Zea mays: one gene and its partners. Each later gene encodes a partner of the first gene's protein in a complex. Links are inferred from orthologs where the notes say so. Each region holds a gene or a part of one and is shown in the gene's direction. Other genes may lie near its edges. The genes, in order: mediator of RNA polymerase II transcription subunit 25, mediator of RNA polymerase II transcription subunit 18, mediator of RNA polymerase II transcription subunit 8, Probable mediator of RNA polymerase II transcription subunit 19b, uncharacterized protein LOC100276155, Mediator of RNA polymerase II transcription subunit 32-like and mediator of RNA polymerase II transcription subunit 14.

Region 1 (2,172 bases):
TCGAACCGTGGCCCTCTTCTATAGATATTCTAAATATTGTGTTACACAGAGGATAAATATTGTAAATATATATACATACTAATACATTTAAATTTAAAAAAATATAATCATGCCACGTCGGACCGGGCCGGCACTATAGACTGAGACGGTGGCTCAGGCACGACATGGTTCTCAGGTCGGGCCGCGGTACTGTTAAATGGGCCGTGCCTTGGGTCAGTCTGCTAGACACGACCTATTTGGCTATCTATAGTACAATACCTTCTTTCTCACTATCTCTGATCTCGTGAGCGTGGAAAAAAGCGAGAGAAAAAACTTCATCTCATCTCACCACACATCCGGTTTAGACCGTGTTTGAATAAATATCTTATTTAAATAAGATTTATCTTTATGATATATAAAAACCGTAGCAACGCACGGACAACTAACCAGTAATTTTGTTATTTTGCTGCGGTTCATCTACTGTCGTTTCATACACTTAGTTTTCTGTCAGTTACTTTATACAGTTCTAATATCCAATTGGTCCTGGTTTCAGTGTGCTGTGATACAGTTACCATCGCAAACTCTGTTGCTGTCGATGGCTGACAAAGCAGGTCGTTTGATTGGCATGCTCTTCCCTGGGGTAATCTTGATTGTAGTTAAATTAATTAATGTTCTGCATAATTATCTGCATTTACTAAATGACCTTTTCCCAGGACATGGTGGTGTTCAAACCGCAGGCCTCAACTCAGCAGACACCAATGCAGCAACAGCAGCTACAGCAATTTCAACAGCAGCAGCAGCAGCTGCAACAACACATGCATATGCAGCCGCAAGGCCTCCCACTTCAGCAATCACAGATGCAACTCCAGCAACAGCAGCCGCAGATGCAACCGATGCAGCAGCAGCAACCTTCGCAGATGCAGCAGCAGATGCAATCGATGCAGCAGCAGATGCAGCCAATGCAGCAGCAAATGCAGCATCAACAGCAACAGATGCAGCATCAACAGCAACAGATGCAGCAAATGCAGCAGCAGCAGCAGCAACAACAACAACAACAACAACAGATACAGCCTCAGCAGCAACAGATGCAGCAAATGCAGCAGCAGCAGCAGCAACAGATGCAGCCTCAACAGCAACAGATGCAGCAAATGCAGCAGCAGCAGCAACAGATGCAGCCTCAACAGCAACAGATGCAGCAAATGCAGCAGCAGCAGCAACAGATGCAGCCTCAACAGCAGCAGCAACCCCAGATGGTGGGTACAGGAATGGGGCAGCAGTTCATGCAGGGGCACAATCGGGCAGTGCAGATGATGCAAGGGAAGATTACGCCACAGGGGCCGGGCAGCATGCCTGGGGGAGGCTTCCTACCTTAAGCACCTTTTATCAGCAGGCATCAGATGAATTGAGGGTTTACACTGACCCAAGTGTTGAGATGTCAACTTCATTTGACAGGGTTAGGGAATAGTCACTCGGGGAGTGTTGCTAAAACTTAATCTGAAAACTTAAGCATCCCTGTCACCGATAGGTAAATGCCAGATGTCCATGCATAGGTGCATACTTTATGATATGGTGGTGTACTCGTAATCTTGAGTGACTTTATGGCATTGTTGTACTAGCCGTAAACTATTAGGTATAACAGAATTATTATTTAAACTACAGTAAAATAAGTGACCTGTGTTGTTTAGGGTTTAAATGGTACGTTAAATAGGTAGTTGAATCATTTAAGCAGTTTAAACTGTCTAAACGATTTACATTGAATCGAGCTAAACATGATTAAATAAGCTAAACAACCATTTAATTCATACTTTATTCAATATTAGCATGATTAAATAAGCTAAACAATCATTTAATTCGTCGTTTAGTCAATATTAGCAAAATTGTTTGTTGCAATAGGAATGTAAGTAAAATAGACTGATGCATAAATTTTAGTATTTGATGATTAACATAATCATTTGAACTAATATTGCTTGCTAGTATTTTAAGTAACATTATTTATTAGTATTTATAGATATAGTTTAAAGGATGCAAAGTGTATTTGAATGAAGATAAATTGGTGGTATAAATGATCAAAACCTCAAGCAAGACATTGAAAAACGTGTTGAAGACCTTTTATAAGAATATGTAGATGCATCCGAATTGAACACAAAGATCATAAAAAACTAAGAGAACACTTTGAGCATATATTGGACTATA
Region 2 (3,992 bases), on another chromosome or scaffold:
AGATAAATATAAATCGAACTAAAATCCATCTTTAGCGCCAATAAGTCAACTGGGAGATGCCACCTAGATTAGATCAAACTCCTCATTGTGTGCCTCCTCCTGAACCACCTGTTCTTCTCCTATGGGGGTGTGAGACAGAAAGGGTGAGCTCACATATGATCATAGCTCAACAAGTTGTGGGGAAACTAGTGTGCATGAACTCACCAAAGGTGAGAGTTCATGTGAAGTGTAAGGCTGATCAACAAAATAAAGGTTGAAGCTGAGCATTGCTTTTATAAGTTGGTCAAAATTTTATTAGCAGTTACTAAGTGTAAGTAAATACCAAACCATAATAAATAATAGAACAAAATTAATAAGTAATCACATGCAATGCAAATGACAAATTGAATTTAAGTTCCATTAATTAATCATGCGACAGTTCTGAGCTGCTCATGACCATGAGCTCGGCTAGTATACCAGTTTTACACTCTACAGAGGCTGTACCCTGTATCCACAAGTAATGTTACCCATCTACCAAGGGATCGCGACTCTCATACACCTCTACCAAGGAAGCGAGACAGGGCAACACTACGAGGCCTTTATAAAGTTCCACTAGATTTCGACTTGCAAGAATCCCCCGTCTGACCGCCATCGCAGCAAAATCAACCGAGAACCTCTCTGCATGTAACTCTCTTACTGCCGTTGCCCCTTTCGGGTAAGGTAGTTTTCCACTAGCTTTCCTAATTAGTTAGTCAAGGGGTCTCATTCCTCTCTTGTGGTGACACATGTTTCTCAAGTTAAGCTCTATGTTCCAATTAAAGATAATAATCTTGACATGAATAAAAATAAAATAACAAAATAATTGGAACATGGATATAATGAAATATTAACCCAAAACCATGTAAAGAAATAGTAAAACTATCAAGTGATTTAGGAATAAAAAGGTAAAGTGATAACATATCTAGAGTAACCTATTAGGTCTTATCAAAATTAAAATAAAAAAAGTGACAAATAAGGCTGAACAACCCCCGCACCGCGACTAGGCTGAACAATCCTGACTCAAGCCCACGGTTTATCTTTTCTGTCCGAGATCACCAAATTTTGATACTTTTTTCGTTTTCGCTATTAACCAAAAAAACAAATTTCAGTCCGTTTTAAATGGATTTGATTCAAAATATAACAATATAAAAAATAAAAGATTAGTCAACGAAACGAAATTTGGATCATTCCAAACGAGACTGTGAACTCTCCCAGCTCAAGCCCACCTCCCTGCTCAAGCCCAGCCGTCCACTGCCTGGCTCCCTCGTCCGGTCGTTCCCGTCTCCCTCCTCGCGTCGCGTCCACCATTGTTCCTGTCGACGCTGCGCCGCACGGCTCGCACCGCCGACAGTGCCTCAGTCCTATCGAGCCTCCCTCTTCCCAGATCAGGCCCTAGCTGGGCTACAGCCGCCGCCGCCGCTGCCGCATCCGTCACCTTCACACCGCGTGCGCGCGCGCTCTCTCTCTCTCTCTCTCTTTGCGACGACTGGACGGGCTACCGCAGTCGCCACCATAGGCACCACGCCCTTCGCTGATCTATTCGCTGGCGAAGAACGCTCTCAATGTATTCCCACTCCCACCCCCTTCTTCTCTCTACCCGCTGTGCGAAAACGAGTTCCCGAACTCTAACCTAACTATTTGATGTCTACTAACTTCTAATTTTGTTTTTTACTGCCATACTGGTCCACCCCTGATACACATATAACAAATCCACTAACGTGATTCTTTTTTTTTGGGTGCAAAATCATTGTGGGACAGTAGAAGATCGATGGAGTGCGTGGTGCAGGGAATCATCGAGAACCAGGTATTGTGCCACAATGCAAGTTGGCACTGATGGTTTATGTAAAATTTGATTTTCACGCATTCCACTAACATTTGAAAGATAGGAGCTCTTTCATCATCGTTAGTGCAGTCTATTTTGTTATGCAGATCAGACATTAACTTTTCCTCTCACTGCTTGCATCTAGATTTGATAAGTATTTTGAATGGTGTATAGATTGTTAATATCTATTTGTAAGTATATACTTATAGTATTGAATTTGTTGTTGAACATTTCGTTACTAATTGAATTCCGTTGCTGTGGACAAAACAATCTCATATTGATGTACATGTACAGTGCACAATGTTGAGCTTACGCACCATACAATCTAGCTTCATTTTAGTGTTCAGTTGAGCTCCCTTAGGTATGGCCACTATCCATAGTTGCCAGTTGGTGGTCACTTTTCTGTTTACTCCATCACAGATAAATACTAACAAAAGTTTATTTTATTGAAGTGATAAATAGATAGATCATGTAGACCACTAAATGTCAACAATTTATTCCGCGCTTTAAGGCACTACTTCTGGAGCTTTTGATTTCATTTGTTTTTTTTCTTCTCAGCATGTTAACAGAATAGTAACATTTAATATACAGTTGGGGGAACATATGATCTATCCTTGTGCTTTTACAATAGAGAGGAACTTAATTTTTTGGTATGTTCTAGTTTATGTGTTGTGCACAGAATGTAAGTTGCTCTTTGTTGTACTGCTCTGCCATTAGTTTAACCTTTGTTTGATCTTTCCATTTTGCAGCATGTCGATGCTCTTGAGGTTCTACTCCAGGGACTCTCTGGTGTCCCGAAAGAGCGTTTTAGGGTGCATGAGCTCTGCCTTAAAAGTGGGCCCAATCTAGGTTAGTTTGTGATTAGTCTACTCCTCCATTCCTACACATGTGGCGTATTAACTGACGTCTTGCAATCATACAGGTGTTGTCCCATCGGAGGTTCGTTTGTTGTGTGACTTAGCTCAGCCCACACCATCCTGGTAACCGAGACAAGCTGCTGAAAGTCTACCTTTTGTTATGTTTATCATTAATTGTGACAAGATTGTAGGACCATAAGACATGTTGGTGGTGCCATGAGAGGTGCTGGTGCGGAGCAAATCTCAGTTCTGGTTCGTACAGTTGTGGAGAGCAAAGCTAGCAAGAACGTCTTGCACTACTTCTACACCCTAGGGTACAAGCTAGACCATGAACTCTTGAAGAGCGGTTTTGCATTTCGTTTCCACCGAGGTGCCCAAATCACTGTCACTGTTACATCTGCTAACAAGATGTCAAGGCTCCATGCAACCGATGAAGCTACGCCAGTCACTCCTGCCATACAGCTAGTGGAAATCACAGCTCCTGCTGCTGCTGATAATTACAATGATGTTGTTTCAGCTGTCACTGCGTTCTGTGAATATCTTGCCCCGTAAGTACCCCAAAGCTTGAATTCCGAGGCAACAATCAGAAAACATATAAGAATGAACCAAACACCTTTTTGGTTTTAATAATCCTTGGAAATCTGCTGCAGGCTGCTGCATCTGTCAAAACCAGGACACTCGACAGGAATCGTTCCAACAGCAGCCGCTGCTGCTGCCTCACTCATGTCAAGTGGCGGTGGCAAAACCTTGTAATGCTGCTAGGACAGCCAAAGTCCGTTCTTGCTGCTAGGACAGCCAAAGTCCGTTCTTTGAGATGAGTGGGCGTGGCTAATGAGGTGGCCTTCTTCGTGCCGAGCATTTGAGCAGTCAGTTTTGCCTGCTAGTGTTGTCCATGTCTGACACATCGTTGTGCCAACCTTGCTCTTGGTTTGACTGGTTGCATGATTGCTGATGGGTAATGCCCTGCCTTGTAGTTGCAGGGTGTAACAATCTAGTATTACCAATATTAAAATTTCTCAAAAATCCAAACCATAATTTCTTTTCTCAAAAAGAAGTTTATCTCATGTGTATATATTTTTCAACTAGGTGAGTGCCCGTGCGTTGCGACGGAAGTAAAAAAATTGTATGAAATATATAAACGGAACGACAAATATCATTATGATATGCAAAATCCGTATGGTAAACATTATCAATATTAGTGGCATGTCCTTTGTGGAAAGACCACCCATTAAAAAGTCATTGATGCACCCATCGGTCGAGACGTTGACAGGAGATTAGTATGACACTTAAGATTG
Region 3 (3,500 bases), on another chromosome or scaffold:
CTAACTCTCCTAGGTCAGGCACCAATATGATGAATACCCCTTCCCCCCAGCAACATCTAACACCACAACAACAGAGGCAAAAACTGATGCAACATTCTCAACCGCTTCACCAGCCGGTGAGGCCATCAGCTGCTGGGATGCTAGCACAGGTAAAGATAGGTTTACATTTGGGGCTTTGGATGTGTTTTAGTTTTATAGATTTTCTGTAGTATGTGTTTCCCTTCTTGATCCTGTTCTAGTTGGAGAGTGAGAATATGAGAAACCCTAACCCTAATCAGGGTTGGGAGTGTATATGTATAGCTGAGTGTTGTGGGCCAAGGCCCATTACAATAGAGGTATACACATAAACGTAAACAACATTCTAACACCCCCGCAGTCTCAACTCTATTCTGTACAAATGTTGAGACTGGATCGAAACTCGGCGAAAACACTCGACGGTAACCCCTTGGTGAAGATGTTGGCGAACTACAACGTAGTGGGGACGCTGAGAACCTGAACGTCACCGGCAGTGACACGCTCGTGGACGAAATGCAAGTCGATCTCCACGTGCTTCGTGCGCTGATGCTACACGAGATTGGTGGAGAGGTAGACCGCGCTGACGTTGTCGCAGTAGACGAGTGTGGCGCGTTGAAGGGGGCTGTGGAGCTCCTGGAGAAGCTGGCGCAGCCAGGAGGCCTCTGCCACGCCGTTGGCCACAGCGCGGTACTCGGTCCCTGCGCTAGAGCGGGAGACAACGGGCTGCCGCTTGGCGGCCCAGGGGACGAGGTTGGCGCCTAGGAACACGACATAACCGGAAGTGGACCACCATGTATCGGGACAACCAGCCCAGTCAGCGTCGTTGTAGACCACAAGCTCCGACGTCGCAGGGGGGGGGGGGTAGAAGACAGTATTCGAGGGAGCTGCGGAGGTAGCGCAGGATCCGCTTGAGAGCGGTGAGATGGGGCTCCCGCGGGGTGCGCATATGTAGGCACACCTGTTGGAGGATGTAGGCGATGTCGGGCCTGGAGAAGGTCAAGTACTGGAGCGTGCCGGTCAGGCTCTAGTAGGATGTCATGTCGGCGACCGGGGGCCCGTCGTCCTCAGAGAGCTTCGCCTGAGTGTCGACAGGCGTGGAGCAGGGCTTGCAGTAGAACATGCCAGCCCGCTCCAGGATGTCGATGGCGTACTGGCGCTGGTGGAGGAAGAGACCTTGAGGCCAGCGCTTGGCGGTGACGTCGAGGAAGTGGTGAATAGGCCCCAGGTTCTTCATCGCGAACTCTGTGAGCACAATGTCGTCGACGTAGAGCAGAAGGTAGACGGTGTCGTCGCGGCGCTGATAGATGAACAAGGACGTGTCCGACTTGGCCTCGACGAAGCCGATGAAGGCCAAGTAAGAGGCAAAGCGACTGTACCATGCCGTGGCGCTTGCTTGAGGCCATACAAGGAGCGGTTCAGTTGGCAGACTAGATCCGGATGAGCGGCGTCGACGAAGCTGGTGGGCTGGCTATAGTAGATAGTCTCCGTCAGAGTGTTGTGGAGGAATGCATTCTTGATGTCGAGATGATGGATCGCCCAACCCCGGGAGAGGGCGAGAGAGAGAACGGCTCGAACAATGGTGAACTTGACGACAGAGCTAAATGTCTCGTTGTAGTCCACTCCGGGACGCTGGGTGAAGCCTCGAAGCACTCAACTGGCCTTCTAGCCGTCGAGGGAGCCATCCGAGGTCAGCTTGTGGTGAAAAATTCACTTGCCGGTGACCACGTTGGTTCCCGGTGGACGCGACACCAGGTCCCAGGTGTGGTTGGCCAGCAAGGCCGCGTACTCCTCCATAGCGCGACGCCAGTGGGGGTCGACGAGGCTGGTGCGAACGGAGGAGGGGACTAGGGAGGCATCGGTATCCCTTGTGGTTAGGGGAGTAACCGAGGATAAGACAACAAATGGAGGGGGGCTTGTGAGGAGAAGTGGCAGAGGTGTTGGGATAGCAGGCACAACCAAAGACTCAGAGATGAGAATAGGAGGGGGTCATGCCATACAAGGAGAAGTGGGGGGTGGGGTGACTCACCACCTTTGAGGGAAGGCGGTTGAGGAGATTAGTAGCAGTGTTCAGGGCCTCTGCCCAATAGCAGGCGGGAAGAGACGCCTGAAATAGGAGGCAACGGATCATGTTAGTGGTGGTGCGAATAATCCGTTCGGCCCGACGGTTCTGAGGGGAAGTGTACGGGCACAAGAGGCACAATTGAACGCCATGAAAGAGAAAGGTGCGAGAGGCGGAGTTATCGAACTCGCAGCCATTATCGCACTGGAGGGCACGAACCGGGCGACGGAACTGGGTGGAGACGCAGGCGAATAAATGTGTGGAGAACCAGGCGAAGAAATGGGTGAGGGTGTGAAAGGTGTCGGACTTAAGCCGTAGAGGAAAGGTCCAGAGAAAGTGGGAATGGGATAAATCATCCAAGATGACAAGATAGTATTTGTAACCAGAGAGGCTAAGGACGAGAGAGGTCCAGAGATCACAATGAACAAGATCAAAGGCTTGGGCAGCCCTGGACGTGGAAGAGGAAAAAAGGAAGACTAGAGTGACGACCGAGCTGACAAGCATGATAGAGATGCTCAGAGAAACCCCGACGACAGGAGATATCTGAGCGTCTAGAGAGCTGGGACATCACATCTGGTCCAGGGTGCCCGAGGCGACGATGCCAATCGGTGGAGGTGGTGGTAGTAGCAAGAGCATGGGGGGAGGATACGCTGGTGGGGGAAGTGGATGGCAAGTGAATAGAGTAGAGGGGGAAGGAGCTGCCATAACGAGCGAGCACGACATGAGAACGAAGGTGTCGTATGGTGAGCCCCTAGGGATCGAACTCTATAGAATAGCGGTTGTCATCGGTGAAGCAACGAACCGAGAGAAGGGGATGTGAGTCAAATGGGGAGCAACAAGAACGTCGTTAAGGTAGAAGGGTCCCGGGAGAATCGATGCACCTACTGAGGTGATCGGAAGGGTGGCACCATTCCCCACCACGGTAGAGGAAGGATGTGAGGGGTGTGGAGGATGGTAGTGGGATAACGAGCTAGTGGTAGAAGTGGTATGGAAGGAGGCTCTGGAGTCGACCACCCAATCAGTGGGAGAGGGAGGGGGTGGTGAAGGCACGGGGTGCGAGGAGAGAGCCAGGGGAGGTGCCCCTAGAAGGTCACCGGGATGGGGGCTGGAGTCGGGGGCCTTGAACATCAGGGATGCAACAATAGCAGGGGGAAGACAAGCGGGCCAGTGACATGACAGCCTGGCTGAGGGTGGAGGTCGACGCAGTCACGAAGAATAAGGTGCATGGCCCGATCAAAGGCCACAAAGGTGCCCCGAATAATCTGACCATCGTGAAGGGTGACACGCACATCGGTCATGGTGACACCGGGCAAAGGCAGGAAAGAGGTGGCATTGGCGGACAAGGCAAAGGTAGGGCCCCCGGTGGCAGGAGGGACACCATGGAGAACTGGGGTAGTGAGTCGACACGGCGGCGGGGAGGCCGAGA
Region 4 (4,150 bases), on another chromosome or scaffold:
GTGTATATAAGGCCAAGAGGTACCCCTACCATTTTCATCTCACCTTAGCCCACCATTCTCAAAGTCCACAACTTGTAATCTCATCCCAATACCAAAACCATCACAGGACGTAGGGTGTTACGCCTCTCGCGCGGCCCGAACCTGAACAAGCTTGTGTGTTTCTCCTGTCGTGCCACCGCACGAACCATCGAGTCATGATCGACGACGCCGTCCTGCCCTAAAAGCATCACGAGGGTTACCCCATGGTGTGCGGTCGGGTAACAAACACCGACACGGGTCAGCCCTTTCCTTTTGCGGGTTTGGTCGTCAGAGACGCAGGCGTCCGTTCCGTCTCGCTGGGTTGCTCGGCGGGGACTTGACCATCCGTCCCGCTTCGTTGGGTTGCTCGACAGGTCTTGGTCGTCCGTCCCGTCTCACTGGTTTGTTCGATGGGGGCCTTGGTCGTCCATCCCGCCTTGCTGGTTGCTCGATGAGGTCTCCTTAAGATACTCGGTTCCTTGGTACTCGTCAATTTTCGCATTCGATTTTAATATAGATATCAAATATATGTATGGGAATTCAACTTTCAATATTTTTCTCTAACCAACTATAGATTTGTATTCAACGAAACCGTGGAATATCCAACACTATCTATACTCGTAAAAAAAAAATCGACGAAACCATTTAAAATGTATTATTATCACTAACAACAAATGATTTTAATTTTAAAAACGCTACCAGAAAAAAATATGTACATTATTCAGAATACTACACAATGATAAATTTAATTTAATTTTAAAAGACTAATTATAATCACATTAGATTACCTATGTAATAAATACGTTATATCTATATGCATTAATGTATTTATTTTCATTGCTAAAGAATATATCTTCATTTATTAATCATATATGCTTATAACATATATATATATATACATACAATATAGTTATAATTTACTTGAAATATAAATTTTTATTGACTATAAATTCGTCGATGAAACAAAATTATTATATATTGCGACACTATGTTCCAAGATGGAAACTTAAATTTAAACTATTTATTTTATATTCATATTATTATATTTATATTTGATATTACCTTCGTTCTCGAATATTTGTCGTCGATTTGTTTATTTTTAAACTAAAACATGACAAATAAAAAAGAATAAAAAGAATGGATAAAGTAGTATTTATACTCGTATTCTAGTTAAAATTATTTGTATATGATAATATTTATAATAATATTCAAGTTAGAATATGATAAATAATAACATCCGAATTTCAATTTTATTTCTAAAATTCTTTTGGAAAAATGGAGAAGAAGCCACATCTGGGCAAGTGCGGGGGTCGTAGGGGTTCCCGATCCTTCCTTTCCCACTTCCCCTTTTTTGCCCGCCCGCTACCCAACCGCCGCCGCGGTTCTCGCTGCCAGCGACGGACGGGCCACACCGCGCAGGGGCTCAGCCCCGCCACCCACCTTAACCCCGCCGTCGGGAGGCGTCGTCCCCGGCCCGGCCCGGCCCGGCCCTCGCCCTCTACTGCAACTGGACTGGCGCGTAGACCTGTCCCCGCCACGAGATCGTTCCGCCCTATGTCGGTGAGTTACCCAAGCTTGCTCCGGTGTGCGGGGCTTCCTCACTGCTGCGGCAGTTTGAATTGAGAACCCTAATAACCTCCGGTCACTCAGGCGCGCCCGCTTCGTGGCGCTGCTGCGGTGCTCCCCTACTTAGCGCGCTCGAGTGCTCCACCCGCCTCTAATGTGATTACTGATTAGGCTCGTAGTATCCAGCGTGCAGGCGCAGCCGGGCAGGCTCACTTTATCTGCCTTCGGTGCATCCTGGCTGGCTGCACGGGTGTTCTCTATAATCAGTGCCCCGACTCGATCCCCATGCCCTGCATCCCGGATACACTGGTGTTTCCAGGGGGAGGGGCTGTCTTGGACACACTGCTGTTCCAGGGGTTGTTTCTGGACCAACTGAGTTCATGTGTTGCAACTGAGCTTCTAGCCATGCTTCCTGCCAGTTGCGGATCCAGGATTCATAAAGAGCCTAGGCTAGTCTATGACCAACCAATAACTACGAACAACTGCATATATACAATGACATGCATAAATTTGTTTGACGCCGACAAATATTTTTCTGAATGTATTACCTAATACGTATGCAAACATTTAAAATAAACTATAAAGAGATAACAAAAAAGTGTTCACAAAAATAGAAGATATTAAATGGTTTGCATTCCGAGATGTAACGATAGATAATATATCATAATTCATAATAGGCTGGATTGGTCCTTCAATATGTATGATCTTCTAATTCGGTCTACAATTTGAGGAGGATAGTCACATATTTGTAACAAGGCTTCATGTCCCAATCACTTGATGTCAATATAAAAAAATATTGAACAGTCTAAATCTTCCGGACTAACAAGTAATAACGCTACAATACTATAATTAGTTAATAAGAACAAAAATGCACATTACATAAGTTTAGATTGAGAAATTGAGAAACGATAGCAGTGTTGGGCTGGGAGCGTCACGTAATTTGCATGTCACGTTTGGGCCACGGTCTTTTCCTAGGTCTGGACCGTAAGTCCATGATCAGAAGCAGACCCACGAGGAGACAGATCAACAAGCTGTTGATGTCCACTTGATCCCGTGCAGAAGTGGCATCACTTGATCCACCTATGCACGAACCTACTCGATGTGCAGCACCGGCACAAACCAGAGCCCGGGCACACGCCTGCCCTGCCCAGGAGCTCTATCCGCCTCTGCTTCCTGCCTATTGCCATTGGTTGCGATGCTGGGTTCTGGTCGTAGTAGTTATGATTGCCTGGTATCCTACGTACATTGTCAGAATCATTTTGTATTGGTCAGTGATCCTTTATGTAGGTGTGTTCTCTCTCGAGTGCTCTTTTTTTTTGCCACTTGTGGATTTATGGTGCTTGGCAGTTTCTCCCCTTTATCACTAGTAACTGTACACGAGGTTGGTTGGGTGTGAGTGAGTGGAATCCCACAGACATGTTTGATTTGCTAAAGTCGCAGTACACACACAGACATATCTACAAAACAAACATACATGTTAACTCCCACGCATGATTTGCTAAAATCACAACACTTTACACGTGATAATTGATATGTAATTCCATATTATTTCAAATAAGACAGGCAAAACATGTTCATTACTTTTGATGTTGACACCATATATGGTTATGAATTGTCTTATCGATGTTTGCTTGGCCATGGGATTTAACAGGCCTATGTGGTGTGTAGATCAAGGTTATTAAAACGGTAAAACGTTGAACGCTCATGGGTGAAATTTTGACTCTTAAACGTTTAAACTTTGTTTAAACGTAGTTTTAAACAACACAGGAAAAATACCAATACATCATAATTTCAGACAATAATATGAAGTTAAATACCAAAATAGAGAGGTTAGTGGCTTACCAAAACTTCACCCATGAGCTGGATTGAACTTCAAAAGTAACTAATAGACTGGGCCCAAAAGTAGCTAATGGTCTAAAATGCATAAAAACACTGCGTTTTAGAGTTTAGAACGCCAAAACGCTAAAACGTTGTTTCAACCTCTAATTAGAGTTTTGACGTTTAAACGTAGTTTAAACATCGTTTAAACGTAGTTTTAATAACACTGGTGTAGATATGTAGTAGTGTATATCGTGTTTGTTCATTGCAGAACCAGTTCACTTTACCTTTGCACATTTGTCGTTACATTTTTTTTGTAATCGAACTTCAGGTGAAGATGCTCTTTGCATAGCTCAAGCTGCAATCTGATGGACCCTGATGACAAGAAGTTTGGAAATGGTAGGGTTTGACTAAGACTCACATAAATGAATGAAATGCACCACGGTCCACGGGTCCTTAAACTATTTCTGCATTGTCATCTAAGCCCATGAACTCTGAAATTTATCATCCGGATCCTTCAACTTTTCAAGTGGTTCATTTTATGGTCACTCTAGGTCCAACCATGGACTTGAATTTACACTTCAAACGAATCACTTGAAAAGCCGGAGGACCTAGCTGATTACTTTGAGAGTTCATGGACCCAAATGGGAATATGGGGAAGTTTACCCCCCCCCCCCCCCTGTGGTTCATTTCACTCTAAATATTTATTTGGTGGACAAGCAATTTTCAGAGATGAAATTGTTAAAAT
Region 5 (4,056 bases), about 180 Mb from region 1:
TCACTGTAGAGGCTCCAGTGCTGAGGTTTTTTCTATGACTGGGTTGACTGACCCCACATGGCAGTGGGGATACGCCTTAGAGCGTACGTGGTGGCGTTCAGTCGTGTCGATAGTGACCTCCTGGCGCCCCTTCGGTACGTTGCACATATGTCCGGACGTGGGTTGATGATGACGCGTCTTGTCGTAGCCATCACGGGTTAATAGCGTTAGGTTGGGACCTCCGCCTCGTATGGTTGCCCAATTTGGAGTTGGTCGACCGCTCCTCCTCAAAGGGTTGCTCAGTGGGGAGTTGGTCGGCTGCTCTGCTTTGCGAGGTTGCTCGTCGATGAGTTGGTCAGCCGCTCTGCCTCTCGACGAGGAATTGGTCGTTCGCTCCATCTTGCAAACTTGCTCGACGGAGGACTTGGTCGTCCGCTCCGCCTCGTAGGCTTGCTTGGCAGAGGGTTGGTCGGCTAATGGGCCGGAAGGAGGTTGTGGGCTTACTTTTGGTTACCCTGTTCCTAGGTACATGACAATTTACATAGTAGAGTTCTATTTGGTAGAGCTCTTTTAATGGCCCCTCAACAGCTTCTTCAAAAAGGCTACCAAATGGTGGGCTCCTCTCGTGGCTTCTCCATAAAAATAGGAAGGAGATGTCCCTAAAAACCGAGGAAAGCCCAGAGCCTAAAAAGGAGGCTTCTCTGACTCGACTCTCTCTTGTCACTCACCCTCCCATGAAAATAGGAGTAGTTGTGTTTTAACTAAATAGAGTGTTCTCCAAGGGTTACTAAAAATAAGGATCAAACTATTTTTTTCAGATGAGCCAGAAGGAAAGCCGGTGATGCAAAAATCCTACCAAAAGGGAGCCTCAGAAGAGTCAACCCACTTTATAATAGTACACATATTCAAGTTTTAAAATTATATATAACCTTAAAAATCATCTATATATTTTGAGCTTTTAAAGTGGGCTAACACGAACCCTACTAGATGTTAGTGTCGGCATGACATGATTAGACACTATAGTGCCGTGTCTAGACAATAGTACTAACACATCACGACACATTTACTAATAGTGTCTAATAACACCATTAATGCTGGACAGACAATCTATTTAGCCATCTATAGATGAATAAGGTTAAAAAACACTATCTATCTCCTCTCGTATCTAATATCTATCCACTATTTCAACTCCAACGCTACAAACAAAGGTATGACTATCGTACAACAACAGTTCTTTAGACGGCCATATCAGCTGGACACAGCCACCGTACTCCGAGATTAGCGCCCCCGTCGGCCAAACAGTACCGGACTGGCCGCCGTTCACAGTTCACGCCCCGCGTGGTCCCTATTTCCCGGCGAGCACTAGGCTACCGCCGCCGCCGTCAGGTGCCGGTGCCCAGACCTTCGTCGTGCCCATTTCACCGGCGACGAGCACCCACTAGGTATGCCCGTCCCTCCTCTCCCCTATCTGCTTTGCGAAACCGAGCACTCAAAACCTAGCTTAAGAATCGGATCTGATTCAGGAGTAATTGCAAGTATATGCATGTATTATTATGCCTACTAAATTACTAATAACTTCGATTTTTCCAATAGCCCCTGCCCGCAGGTGTTGGGAACTGGGGATAGAGATGGATCACCACCACCCGCAGCAGCAGCAGCAGCAGTACGGCGATCCTTACCGTGGGCTCATGACGTCCCCGCAGCCCGACCACCACCTCCACGCTCTTCAGTACCATCAGCCGCAGCCGCAGCAACAGCCGGCGCTTATGTCTCCACCGCAGCCACAGCCAGCACTGATGTCTCCACAGCCGCAGCAGACACTGATGTCTCCACCGCAGCCGCAGCAGCATCACCACGCCTCTCTTGCCTCCCACTTCCACCTCCTACATGTAAGTAACGGAGTGTTTGGAGTTGTGTGGAGTTTTGTGTTTTGGGGGCCTTTGCTCTTAGTTTAAGATAGCATAGATGATACATACCCTCAAATGAACCCTTCTTTTTGTAGTGATGTCATTGATGTTGTTGGAGTGTGCCCTTTGTGCACCGGAATTTCAAAATTCTGAACTTGGGATTTTGCTAGTCATTAAAGATTGTCATTAATTTGTCCTGTATTTGTTGCTCAGCGATTGCAATTTCTTCACACCATGATTTGTCACTTTGGCCGGTAGTGAAGATTGCCATATTATAGGTGTACATGAACGATATACAAGCGTCAGAGCGTGCAACATTGGTAATGGCCAGAGAAAATGTTGATTCTAATCACTCGAGTTGGTTTGACAAGAAATACATAAATTAAAAATATATATGAGGGCACTTTAGGTATTGTAGGTTTTCTTAAGCTGGCAATCACATGTCTGTATTGGCATCTAACATTTAGGCTTATTTCCAATGGCTTTTTTGCAAGTAGCAAATCTTTGTTTCCACTTTTATGATGGCTCTTCTTCCTTTTACTCTTTGAGAAAGTACTAGAATGTATTGTGAAATACTGATAGTTTTCTTCTTTGCATAATTTTGTTCTCTGTTAGTTGGTTACAAGATTAGCCGATGCTATTGGTACAGGAACAAGGGACCAAAATTTCGATGCACTGGTAAGAATCACCATTTACTAATTTTCATTTGTTTTATGGATCAATGTTCTTGTACTCATAGTGCATGATCTTGTCAGAAACAATAGTTGTAGCTTCTTCTAGGCGTGGAGCCTGAATATTCTTATACAGAGTTTGAATTGACATGTGATGTAATTCTTAAATCACTTCCCAGAGAAGAGACAGGTCACAAACAATGCTCTAGTGTTGGTGGTGCACAGGAAGCTTGGGACCAGCCCAGGGTGACAGGGTCTGCACGGTTCAGTTTTCCATAGCCAAAACCAAGCCAGTGGAAGACATACCCTTAGTTATGCAATTATGCAATTGCAGAAGCATGTTAAAATTACTACTATGTATTGTGTACTTCCATGCTGATTTCTTATAGAATACCAGCTAAACACCATATTTTTCCCAGCGTTTTGCTAAATCCTAATTCCAATAGCTACTGTATTAAGAGAAGCTTTTTATATATATCTAGGTTGAAGAATTGACCAGCCAGTTTGCTAGGTGCCAACAATTGTTGAACTCCATATCGGGAACAATAAGCTCAAAGTCTACTGTAAGTTCTGTTACTTCTCTTTCCTGACTCATATGCTTTATTCTTAGTGGTCTTCTGAATTTGATAATAATTACTAAGTTAAATTGAACTATTCTGGCTAATGAATCTCAATTACTTTGTTTTGGTATCCAATAAAATTTTCAATTGCACAAGAATTAAGAATTTTTTCCAGAAATGGATAATAAGACGGGGTATAGTAGATCTGTTGCAGGTTTTTGTGTTGTCTCATAAAATGTCTATAAATATTCATGTCTCTAGGCAAATCCTTTTAAAAAGTTAATTCACATTTATTTAAACATCAACAGGAGCATTGCCATATTATATAGAAGGCATGGGACTAAAAGGCTTTCTTTGGGACTGCCCCAACTTGATTGGAGCTAAAAGGCTTTGTTGTTGCCAGAAGCACTAGCATATCATATAAGAACTCAAATGTGCACGGTGCACACATGTTGTCCTCATGCTCAAACACGGATGAGGCTGCCCAAGCAGTCTTGGAACGTGCCTACTGAGCAACTCACACACATAGAGGCTTAGTCCCCTCTGATGAAAATCCCGTGTGACACCTGAGTCGCCCCAGTCAGGGATCAAACTCGGGTAGTAGCGCTCGCACGGTCGCACCGAGCGGCCTTAGTGCCTTACCACTGACTTACTGAGCCATTGTTTTGTTTTCTAATTCACAATTATTAGTTGTTAAGAGTGTCTAAAGTTTGGCTAGTTTTGGCAGTTTTTACTGCTGGGTTACTAGTACGTAATAACTGATGTTACTAGCCAGTAGGGACTGTCGGTTTAGTGGAGACCGGCATGAGCTGCCTTCCTTAAAAAGCCCTAGTTTTCCAGTTGATACCGGTGTCAGTGCTGTCATTACGATCTACAATATTTAGAACCATTTTAATAGACCTAATATTGCTAATTTTATATGTTGTATGGTGCTGGTTA
Region 6 (3,689 bases), on another chromosome or scaffold:
CACCCATTTGGTTACATGTCAAGCCAGATGACATGTCTAGAACTATCTAATCAGAGTCACAATCAATAGGGACAATCGTAGCAGTAAGCCAACACACCACTCAGCTCTTCCTACATTCAGTGGCGGATCTCCAACCGAGGCTGGGGCTGCCTGGGCTGCAGCCCGGTCGCGGCCCAAAAATCAGCGAATAAGCCCATCAGCTCCAGCCGCGCGACCGCGTGAACAGCCTCCCAGTCGTAGGTCGCTCCTCCTCCCTCTACCCACGAGCTTCAGGCCTCCAACCGCCCACGCCCCGACGCCCGGAGCACCGCTGCAACCCGCAGCGTCGCTCGCCCGGAGGCCGGACCGCCGGAACACCGCCGCTAGCCCCGCCCGGAGCACCGCCTTGACCACGCCGCTGTCCAGCCGCCACTCCGCGCTCCCTCCTTCTGCTAATTCGTGGAGCTCAGGTTTGTACACACGCGCTGAGAAGAAAGTGTGCTTAGCTATTAGCTTGTTCTTGCATTGGAGTGATGAGCCAGACAGCCAGTGATGTATGGCCTTGCCATAATGCCATGCGCGGTGTGCGGCGTGTGCCAATGCCCCTCCAAGCTTTCTGTTGGGGGTTCCTTGTTCTGTTGGGAGTTTGGGACGATGAAGGAATAGGAGGCCAAGAGAGTTTCTGCTAATCTGTGACAGATCATGCAGGAATAGGACGTCCCATGCGAACTGCGAAGCAGAAGCAACGAAGGTGAAGCTGTGATCTGTGAAGCAGACAAGCAGTGAAGGTGAAACATGTGCTATTGTTTGCTTTAAGTTTGATTTGAAATTTTGATTTGATTATTTATTTGGTAGTAATCCCATGCTTATAAGAATAGGATGGATAAATTTTTCATCAAGAACCAGAAGAAAGATGATTCTAATTCTAAAACAATTAGGATAAACGAGAGTCTTGTAAAAAAAAGACCACGTATAGTAGCTCTGGATCCGCCACTTCCTACGTTCTGTCCGCACGATTGATCGCGAGCTTCCCAACAACACGCGTCCAATAATGTAATTTTTAGAATTTATTTACTATACGGTCTGGGAAAACAATATTATTTTTTTAGAAAAAAATCCATGCCTACAATCTCTAGCCCTGGTCCAGATGCGTATGTCGAATAAAAAGGCCCATCCTGATCTCGACCCGATATCGATTGGGCCATTTCGGCATTTCCTGTTTTCACGCTTTGCTTTCGGTTTCGGGGTCGTCGTGTCGAATTGGGGGCTGAGGCCGAATTGGATCGTCAGAAGCTGGGGGTGAGGGAGGGATGGAGGCGACTGTGGACCACCTGAGCGCGGCGTACGACGACTTCATGGCGGCGGCGGCGGCTGTGGTGGAGGCCCGCGTACAGTCGGGCGGCGAGAAGAAGACGGCGGCCACGGACGCCGCGCTCGAGGCCTTCAAGCAGCGCTGGGAGATCTTCCGCGTCGCCTGCGACCACGCCGAAGAGCTCGTCGAGTCCATCCGCCAGCGCATCGGCTCCGAGTGCCTCGTCGACGAGGCCACGGGGTCCGCCTCCGCCGGATCCGTTGCCGCCCCCGGCATCAAGCCCATCAGCGCCGTCCGCCTCGAGCAGATGAGCAAGGCCGTCCGATGGCTCGTCATCGAGCTCCAGCACGGCGCCTCTGCTCAAGGGACCGGCGGCAGTGGCGGTGCCGCTACCCCAAATGCCGGCGCTGGAGGGCAACACCCGGAGGAGGGTGCCCAGTAGGTATGGACTATGGAGTTACTGAATTAAACTAGTAGCATCGCCCTTCTCATATGAAAATTGTAGCATTTTTCCTTCAATAGAAAACAAAGAACTTGTCGTTGCTGTGTTTCTATGAGTGACAGCATTAACCTTGCGTGTTGATATTTGCAAGAACATGAACTAAGGTGCCGTTTGGTTCATATATTTGTAACGTAATGGGTAATGGATAACGTTAAATCATGTTTGTTATAGTCCAACCGTAATCAGATACCGTACTAAAATTTGATACCAGCCTATTCAAATTTGTTACCGCCAGTAATCGAGCGTAAACTATTACCATTACCATTTGCGTTACATTTTTTGAACCAAACAGCACCTAAATCATTGCGATTTGCTGGCTGTTGTTTTTACCTTTCCATTTTGAGATATACTACTACTCAGCATTAATGTCTTTATGCCCATTGGTTATTGCCCAATCTTTACACAGATTGCTAAAATGCTGCTCTCCATAAAAAAAAATTATAGTGTCGTGACAAAGCATGAGAGGTATATAGATCTAATTACATGATGACCAGAAAAAAAAAACCTGGGGGTATAATGCTGCGCCAGTTTTAAGTCTGTACCTGTTTGGACCAGCCAGTGTATGGGGATTGGTTGTTGCAGTTTTTGATTTTGAGTCAACTCTTTTGTTGAGTGAAGAGATAAGGTTGGGAACTTGGGATCCCTGGTTTGAGATAGACAAAAAAACTAAAAAAGGGCTGATCCAGTGCTGGAGGCTCTCACACGAGTGGGGTCTAGGAAAGGGATGAGCTTCGAACTCACGACTTAAATTAGGTGCCGTTTGGTTCCTAAAATGTAACGTAAATGGTAACGGTAATGATTTGCATTCGATTACCAGGGGTAACAAGTTTGAATAGGCTGGTATCAATTTGTAGTGTGGTATCCAATTACAGTTGGACTTAAACAAACATGATTTAACGTTATTTGTTACCTATTACATTACAAACATATAAACCAAACAGCACCTTAGTTCCTTTATCGTTCTATAGATCCAAAGTTTTATTCACCACTGCTATGGTCCCTACAGATTCATGATATTTGAGTTAACAAAGCAGTACTGGTTTTCATTGTTCTCAGAGTATATTCACTAGTCATTTTCACAAAAGCACGAACTGAATTGAACAGTAATTTAGTAAGATGGTTACCAAGAAACCAGATATGCCCATCACTGTATCTCAAATGTATGTTAATCTATTATGTGCAGAAAAAAAAGATTTGACTATGCTACATGACAGTATGCTGATAAACTATTGGAAGTAAGCAGAAATGTGGAGATGTCATAATCTGTTTGTATCGATATTATAGGATCTGTAGACAAAGTACAATTTCACAATTTGATGGCTGCACTCAAGAGAATTGGCTGAGGACTATGAACTACTCCCTCCATTTCTAATTATAAGATTTTTTGGCTTTTCTAGATCAATAGTTTTTGCTACACACCTAGAAATATATTATGTATAGATACGCAAAAGCTATGAACCTAGAAATGCCAAAATGTTTTATAATTTGGGACAGAGGAAGCATTAGCAGAAAAAACATGCGTTTACATCCAACATGGATTAAGACGCGTTAACGCATTATCATACCAAAAACATAGATGATATGGTGAGCAAAGTGCATTATCATACCAACAACAGTAACATGGATTAAGACCACAACTGATTGTTAAAATTTGGCCACTGACTCAATATAAGCAGTGTACCTAAAAAATAGAGCTGAAATGAGATAATCTGTACAGAAACTTTAAAGGTTGTAACCAATGCCAAATTCAGAAAATAGAGCTAGATAAAATATTAGCTCCATAAGTATACCGGACTTTGATAAATGTAACATGCTGAATGATACTACTCCGTATCATGTGAGAAAAGGATCTGAGTATCTGGTCGATTAATTTAAGAATATATTAAGACCTGGAAC
Region 7 (3,617 bases), about 2.3 Mb from region 1:
AATAATGGATCAATATTTCATAGTCTGGAAGTATAAATGAGTGCTGGCGTTTTTGTTGTTTCACTGTACATTCCTGTGATCTGCTTTGCTGGCAGTGGCAGATGGGTCATTATCATTCCAATTGGCTTCCATCAATTCACTAGTATCTGTTGATAAATAGGTGAAACCGAGTACAAAAGCTTATGCTTTCTGCTTAAGCAGAAAGTTTCTGTGAGATTGCTCAATCATCTTGCTTTTTGCAATAAAGCTTACCTTTATTTGCCAGCTATCTCATAATCAATATTTGCAAAAATGCAGTTTCTGGAGGATTTCGTGAATGGTGGAGAGGTAGCATCCTTCTTGGATTGCATTCGGCTTACAGCAGGACCATTACTTGCCCTTGGAGGTGCAATTCGTCCTGCAAGGATGCCTGTTGCTGTCTCATCTGGATATAGCTCTATGCCAAAACAGCCGAACATCCCCACACAAGGGCCTTTAGTAAATGGTTCATCTTCAACTATACATCACGCACCTGGCCCCTCAAATGCTGCATCTGCCCATTTAGGCAGTCATAACCTTCATGCTGCTGCCATGCTTTCAGCTGTTGGACGCGGTGGACCTGGGCTTGTTCCCAGTTCATTACTGCCTTTTGATGTTTCGGTTGTACTTCGTGGGCCATACTGGATACGCATTATATATCGCAAGAAATTTTCTGTTGACATGCGCTGCTTTGCTGGGGATCAGGTTTGGCTCCAGCCAGCTACTCCTCCTAAAGGTGGACCTTCAGTTGGTGGATCGTTGCCATGCCCACAGTTCCGGCCTTTCATAATGGAACATGTTGCTCAGGGTCTAAATGCTCTTGAACCCAACTTCATGAATGCTACACAGGCTAGTGGACACTTAAATAACAATGCAGGAGTTCCACAAACTGCTCCTAGTGCAAATCGTTTAAATGCTACCCCTGGTGTTTCTATGGTCAGGCCAACATCTGGTGTTGCTAACCATGTAGCAGCCAGTTTGAGTCGAGCAGGAAATGCCATGTTGGCTTCTTCGGCTCTTGCTTCTGGTATTAGTGGAACTTCTGTGCGACTTACTGCTGGAGCTGGTCTCCCTGTTCACATGAAAGGTGAACTAAACACAGCTTTCATAGGACTGGGGGATGACGGTGGATATGGTGGTGGCTGGGTTCCTTTGGCAGCTCTTAAAAAGGTGCTGAGAGGGATCCTAAAGTACCTAGGAGTTCTATGGTTGTTTGCACAATTGCCTGAACTTTTGAAAGAAATACTAGGATCAATCTTAAAGGACAATGAAGGTGCTCTCTTGAATTTGGATCAAGAGCAGCCTGCACTCCGGTTCTATGTCGGGTAAGAAAATATAAACTGGCAAGTATCCCTTGTTTTCTAGCATCATATTTAAAGTAAATGCTATTCATTTTTTTTTGGCTGCGCAATTAAGATTGAGGATCTACATGAAAGTATCCTTAATTTTCTATTGTGCATGGAAGCTTTGGTGCTTAGCGCTATTGAGTTCCCTGACCTTCTTTTGGAAATAGTACTTTGTTTATATCTGCTGCTCTTCGGATTATATATTCATTCATCTATTACATGTTACTAGTGTGCGTCAAATATTTACTGATTCCTTAAGACTATACTTAATTGTTTACTGAATATAAGTGGTGTTCTTTTATTTAATTTGATGCTATCAGCTCATAATTGGTTGAGCTTAGGCTAGCCTTATAAGATGAAAAATTGGTGTTCAAAATGACTCATCTTGTTTTTCCTGAGTTGAGTATTTTCATTTGGGATTGCTAGTAAATTGGTACCTGATTTCATAATTGCAGAGGATATGTATTTGCAGTAAGTGTACATCGGGTTCAACTGCTTCTACAAGTTTTGAGTGTGAAAAGATTTCACCACCAGCAACAGCAGCAGCAGGCTCAAAGCAATGCTCAGGAAGAGCTAGCAGCAGTTGAAATCAATGAAATATGTGACTACTTTAGCAGACGTGTTGCCTCCGAACCATATGATGCTTCTAGAGTTGCTTCTTTTATCACTTTGCTTACATTACCAATTTTGGTTCTGCGCGAGTTTTTAAAGCTGATTACATGGAAGAAAGGTCTTTCCCCGGTTCATGGGGACATTGCTACTGCACAGAGGGCTCGCATCGAGCTTTGTTTGGAGAATCACTCAGGATCAGCTTCGTCTGATAACACCGAGAACAGCAGTTTAGCCAAGAGTAATATTCATCATGATAGAGCCCACAGTTCAGTAGAATTTGCCCTGACATTTGTACTTGACCATGCTCTTATTCCTCACATGAATGTAGCTGGAGGAGCTGCCTGGCTTCCATATTGTGTATCTGTGAAACTTCGCTATTCTTTTGGGGACAACAATCATATAGCTTTCCTTGCTATGAATGGGAGCCATGGTGGGAGAGCCTGCTGGTTGCAGTTTGAGGAGTGGGAAAGATGTAAGCAGAAGGTTTCAAGAGCTGTGGAAACTGTGAATGGGTCTGGTGTAGCTGGAGAGGTAGGCCAAGGAAGGCTGCGAATGGTTGCAGAGATGATCCAAAAGCAGCTTCAACTCTGTCTACAACAGCTAAGAGATGACCCACTTTCTGCAGGCTCGACTGCATCATGAACTTGCTTGGAATGAGCTCTATCAAGGCCATTGATGTCTGTCATATTCAGCATGGCCTTTGGCTTTGTTAACGTGTAGATGTGAAGGAATACACATTTGGTAGCAGTGACAGTTTCGCCTGAGGCTTGCTCAGATGACAATTTTGTACAGTATAAATGGTGGCGGTTGACTCTGATGGACCTTTAGTTAGCCCATTTGAACGTGGCCTGTAACATAGCTAGGGTGGGTAATAATGTGCCAAGGTGGAATTGCTCAGGGATGCAAAATGATCTTCGGGAATTGGTTGTCTGTATCATCTACTGTAATCGTGTCCTTTTTCTCCCTTTCTGATGGATAGTTCATTTTTGGATTCGTTATCATCTTTCTTCTGTCTGTACTATGTTAATCTAGACATTGGTGGATCTGGTATATGTGTTGTTGTACATGATATATTGGCACTGGACTTGAGACTGACGCATTTGACGTCTTAGTATTAGCAGGACATCTCTAGTTGTGTTCAGAGTGATTGGACACAAAAAATATTGCTTGGAGCTTTTCTTTAGGGCTAGTTTGGGAACTTAAATCTCGACCCCATAGATTCCTGGAGAAGATTTGAGTTCCCAAACTAGTTCTTAATGTTTCTTTTTTTTTTCTATTGCATCTTCTTAGTAAATGATGTTTTTGTAACTGTAAAAACCGTGCCGGTCAAGATTGATACCTGGATGGATAAGATGATGTTGGGTCAGATTTCTTGCTCATGGTTAGGAAATTGATGTGAGCACTCTGGCCAGTTTGTTTGAAACTGATATTCGTGAGTTGTGATTGGAAGCGTATGGATAGGCTTTTTAATCGTGTTAACCGTCATACGGGTAGGCCTTTTTAGTTCTCGTGCTTCTACGTTTGGGACACAGGTGTCAGTTTTTGTGCTTTAATGGACTCCATAGGTATCACGTGAAGCTGACATAAGTTACTTATTATCTTCATTTTACTCTATCTTCTCGTGAGAGGAAAAAAAGGGTT

The links.
Region 2: mediator of RNA polymerase II transcription subunit 25 (region 1) and mediator of RNA polymerase II transcription subunit 18 share a complex: the UniProt entries of both Arabidopsis thaliana proteins name them as parts of the mediator complex. The link is inferred for Zea mays from reciprocal best matches to the Arabidopsis thaliana genes PFT1 and AT2G22370.
Region 3: mediator of RNA polymerase II transcription subunit 25 (region 1) and mediator of RNA polymerase II transcription subunit 8 share a complex: the UniProt entries of both Arabidopsis thaliana proteins name them as parts of the mediator complex. The link is inferred for Zea mays from reciprocal best matches to the Arabidopsis thaliana genes PFT1 and MED8.
Region 4: mediator of RNA polymerase II transcription subunit 25 (region 1) and Probable mediator of RNA polymerase II transcription subunit 19b share a complex: the UniProt entries of both Arabidopsis thaliana proteins name them as parts of the mediator complex. The link is inferred for Zea mays from reciprocal best matches to the Arabidopsis thaliana genes PFT1 and AT5G19480.
Region 5: mediator of RNA polymerase II transcription subunit 25 (region 1) and uncharacterized protein LOC100276155 share a complex: the UniProt entries of both Arabidopsis thaliana proteins name them as parts of the mediator complex. The link is inferred for Zea mays from reciprocal best matches to the Arabidopsis thaliana genes PFT1 and MED9.
Region 6: mediator of RNA polymerase II transcription subunit 25 (region 1) and Mediator of RNA polymerase II transcription subunit 32-like share a complex: the UniProt entries of both Arabidopsis thaliana proteins name them as parts of the mediator complex. The link is inferred for Zea mays from reciprocal best matches to the Arabidopsis thaliana genes PFT1 and MED32.
Region 7: mediator of RNA polymerase II transcription subunit 25 (region 1) and mediator of RNA polymerase II transcription subunit 14 share a complex: the UniProt entries of both Arabidopsis thaliana proteins name them as parts of the mediator complex. The link is inferred for Zea mays from reciprocal best matches to the Arabidopsis thaliana genes PFT1 and SWP.

Annotation. Positions count from the first base shown.
Region 1 is NC_050097.1:178,589,898-178,592,069, reverse strand, and holds the end of mediator of RNA polymerase II transcription subunit 25, read left to right. Parts: intron 1-532; coding exon 533-619; intron 620-692; coding exon 693-1,352; 3' UTR 1,353-1,672; downstream 1,673-2,172. UniProt on the Arabidopsis thaliana protein: Component of the Mediator complex, a coactivator involved in the regulated transcription of nearly all RNA polymerase II-dependent genes.
Region 2 is NC_050100.1:126,532,858-126,536,849, reverse strand, and holds mediator of RNA polymerase II transcription subunit 18, read left to right. Parts: upstream 1-1,192; 5' UTR 1,193-1,582; intron 1,583-1,776; 5' UTR 1,777-1,786; coding exon 1,787-1,822; intron 1,823-2,589; coding exon 2,590-2,689; intron 2,690-2,762; coding exon 2,763-2,820; intron 2,821-2,888; coding exon 2,889-3,245; intron 3,246-3,347; coding exon 3,348-3,450; 3' UTR 3,451-3,714; downstream 3,715-3,992. UniProt on the Arabidopsis thaliana protein: Component of the Mediator complex, a coactivator involved in the regulated transcription of nearly all RNA polymerase II-dependent genes.
Region 3 is NC_050102.1:151,797,348-151,800,847, reverse strand, and holds part of mediator of RNA polymerase II transcription subunit 8, read left to right. Parts: coding exon 1-149; intron 150-3,500. UniProt on the Arabidopsis thaliana protein: Component of the Mediator complex, a coactivator involved in the regulated transcription of nearly all RNA polymerase II-dependent genes.
Region 4 is NC_050096.1:177,736,204-177,740,353, forward strand, and holds the start of Probable mediator of RNA polymerase II transcription subunit 19b, read left to right. Parts: upstream 1-1,350; 5' UTR 1,351-1,578; intron 1,579-3,733; 5' UTR 3,734-3,770; coding exon 3,771-3,801; intron 3,802-4,150. UniProt on the Arabidopsis thaliana protein: Component of the Mediator complex, a coactivator involved in the regulated transcription of nearly all RNA polymerase II-dependent genes.
Region 5 is NC_050097.1:1,837,529-1,841,584, reverse strand, and holds the start of uncharacterized protein LOC100276155, read left to right. Parts: upstream 1-1,256; 5' UTR 1,257-1,421; intron 1,422-1,572; 5' UTR 1,573-1,607; coding exon 1,608-1,868; intron 1,869-2,501; coding exon 2,502-2,564; intron 2,565-3,039; coding exon 3,040-3,120; intron 3,121-4,056. UniProt on the Arabidopsis thaliana protein: Component of the Mediator complex, a coactivator involved in the regulated transcription of nearly all RNA polymerase II-dependent genes.
Region 6 is NC_050101.1:142,578,410-142,582,098, reverse strand, and holds Mediator of RNA polymerase II transcription subunit 32-like, read left to right. Parts: upstream 1-1,170; 5' UTR 1,171-1,289; coding exon 1,290-1,733; intron 1,734-2,976; 3' UTR 2,977-3,189; downstream 3,190-3,689. UniProt on the Arabidopsis thaliana protein: Component of the Mediator complex, a coactivator involved in the regulated transcription of nearly all RNA polymerase II-dependent genes.
Region 7 is NC_050097.1:176,292,247-176,295,863, reverse strand, and holds the end of mediator of RNA polymerase II transcription subunit 14, read left to right. Parts: intron 1-297; coding exon 298-1,343; intron 1,344-1,819; coding exon 1,820-2,618; 3' UTR 2,619-3,117; downstream 3,118-3,617. UniProt on the Arabidopsis thaliana protein: Component of the Mediator complex, a coactivator involved in the regulated transcription of nearly all RNA polymerase II-dependent genes.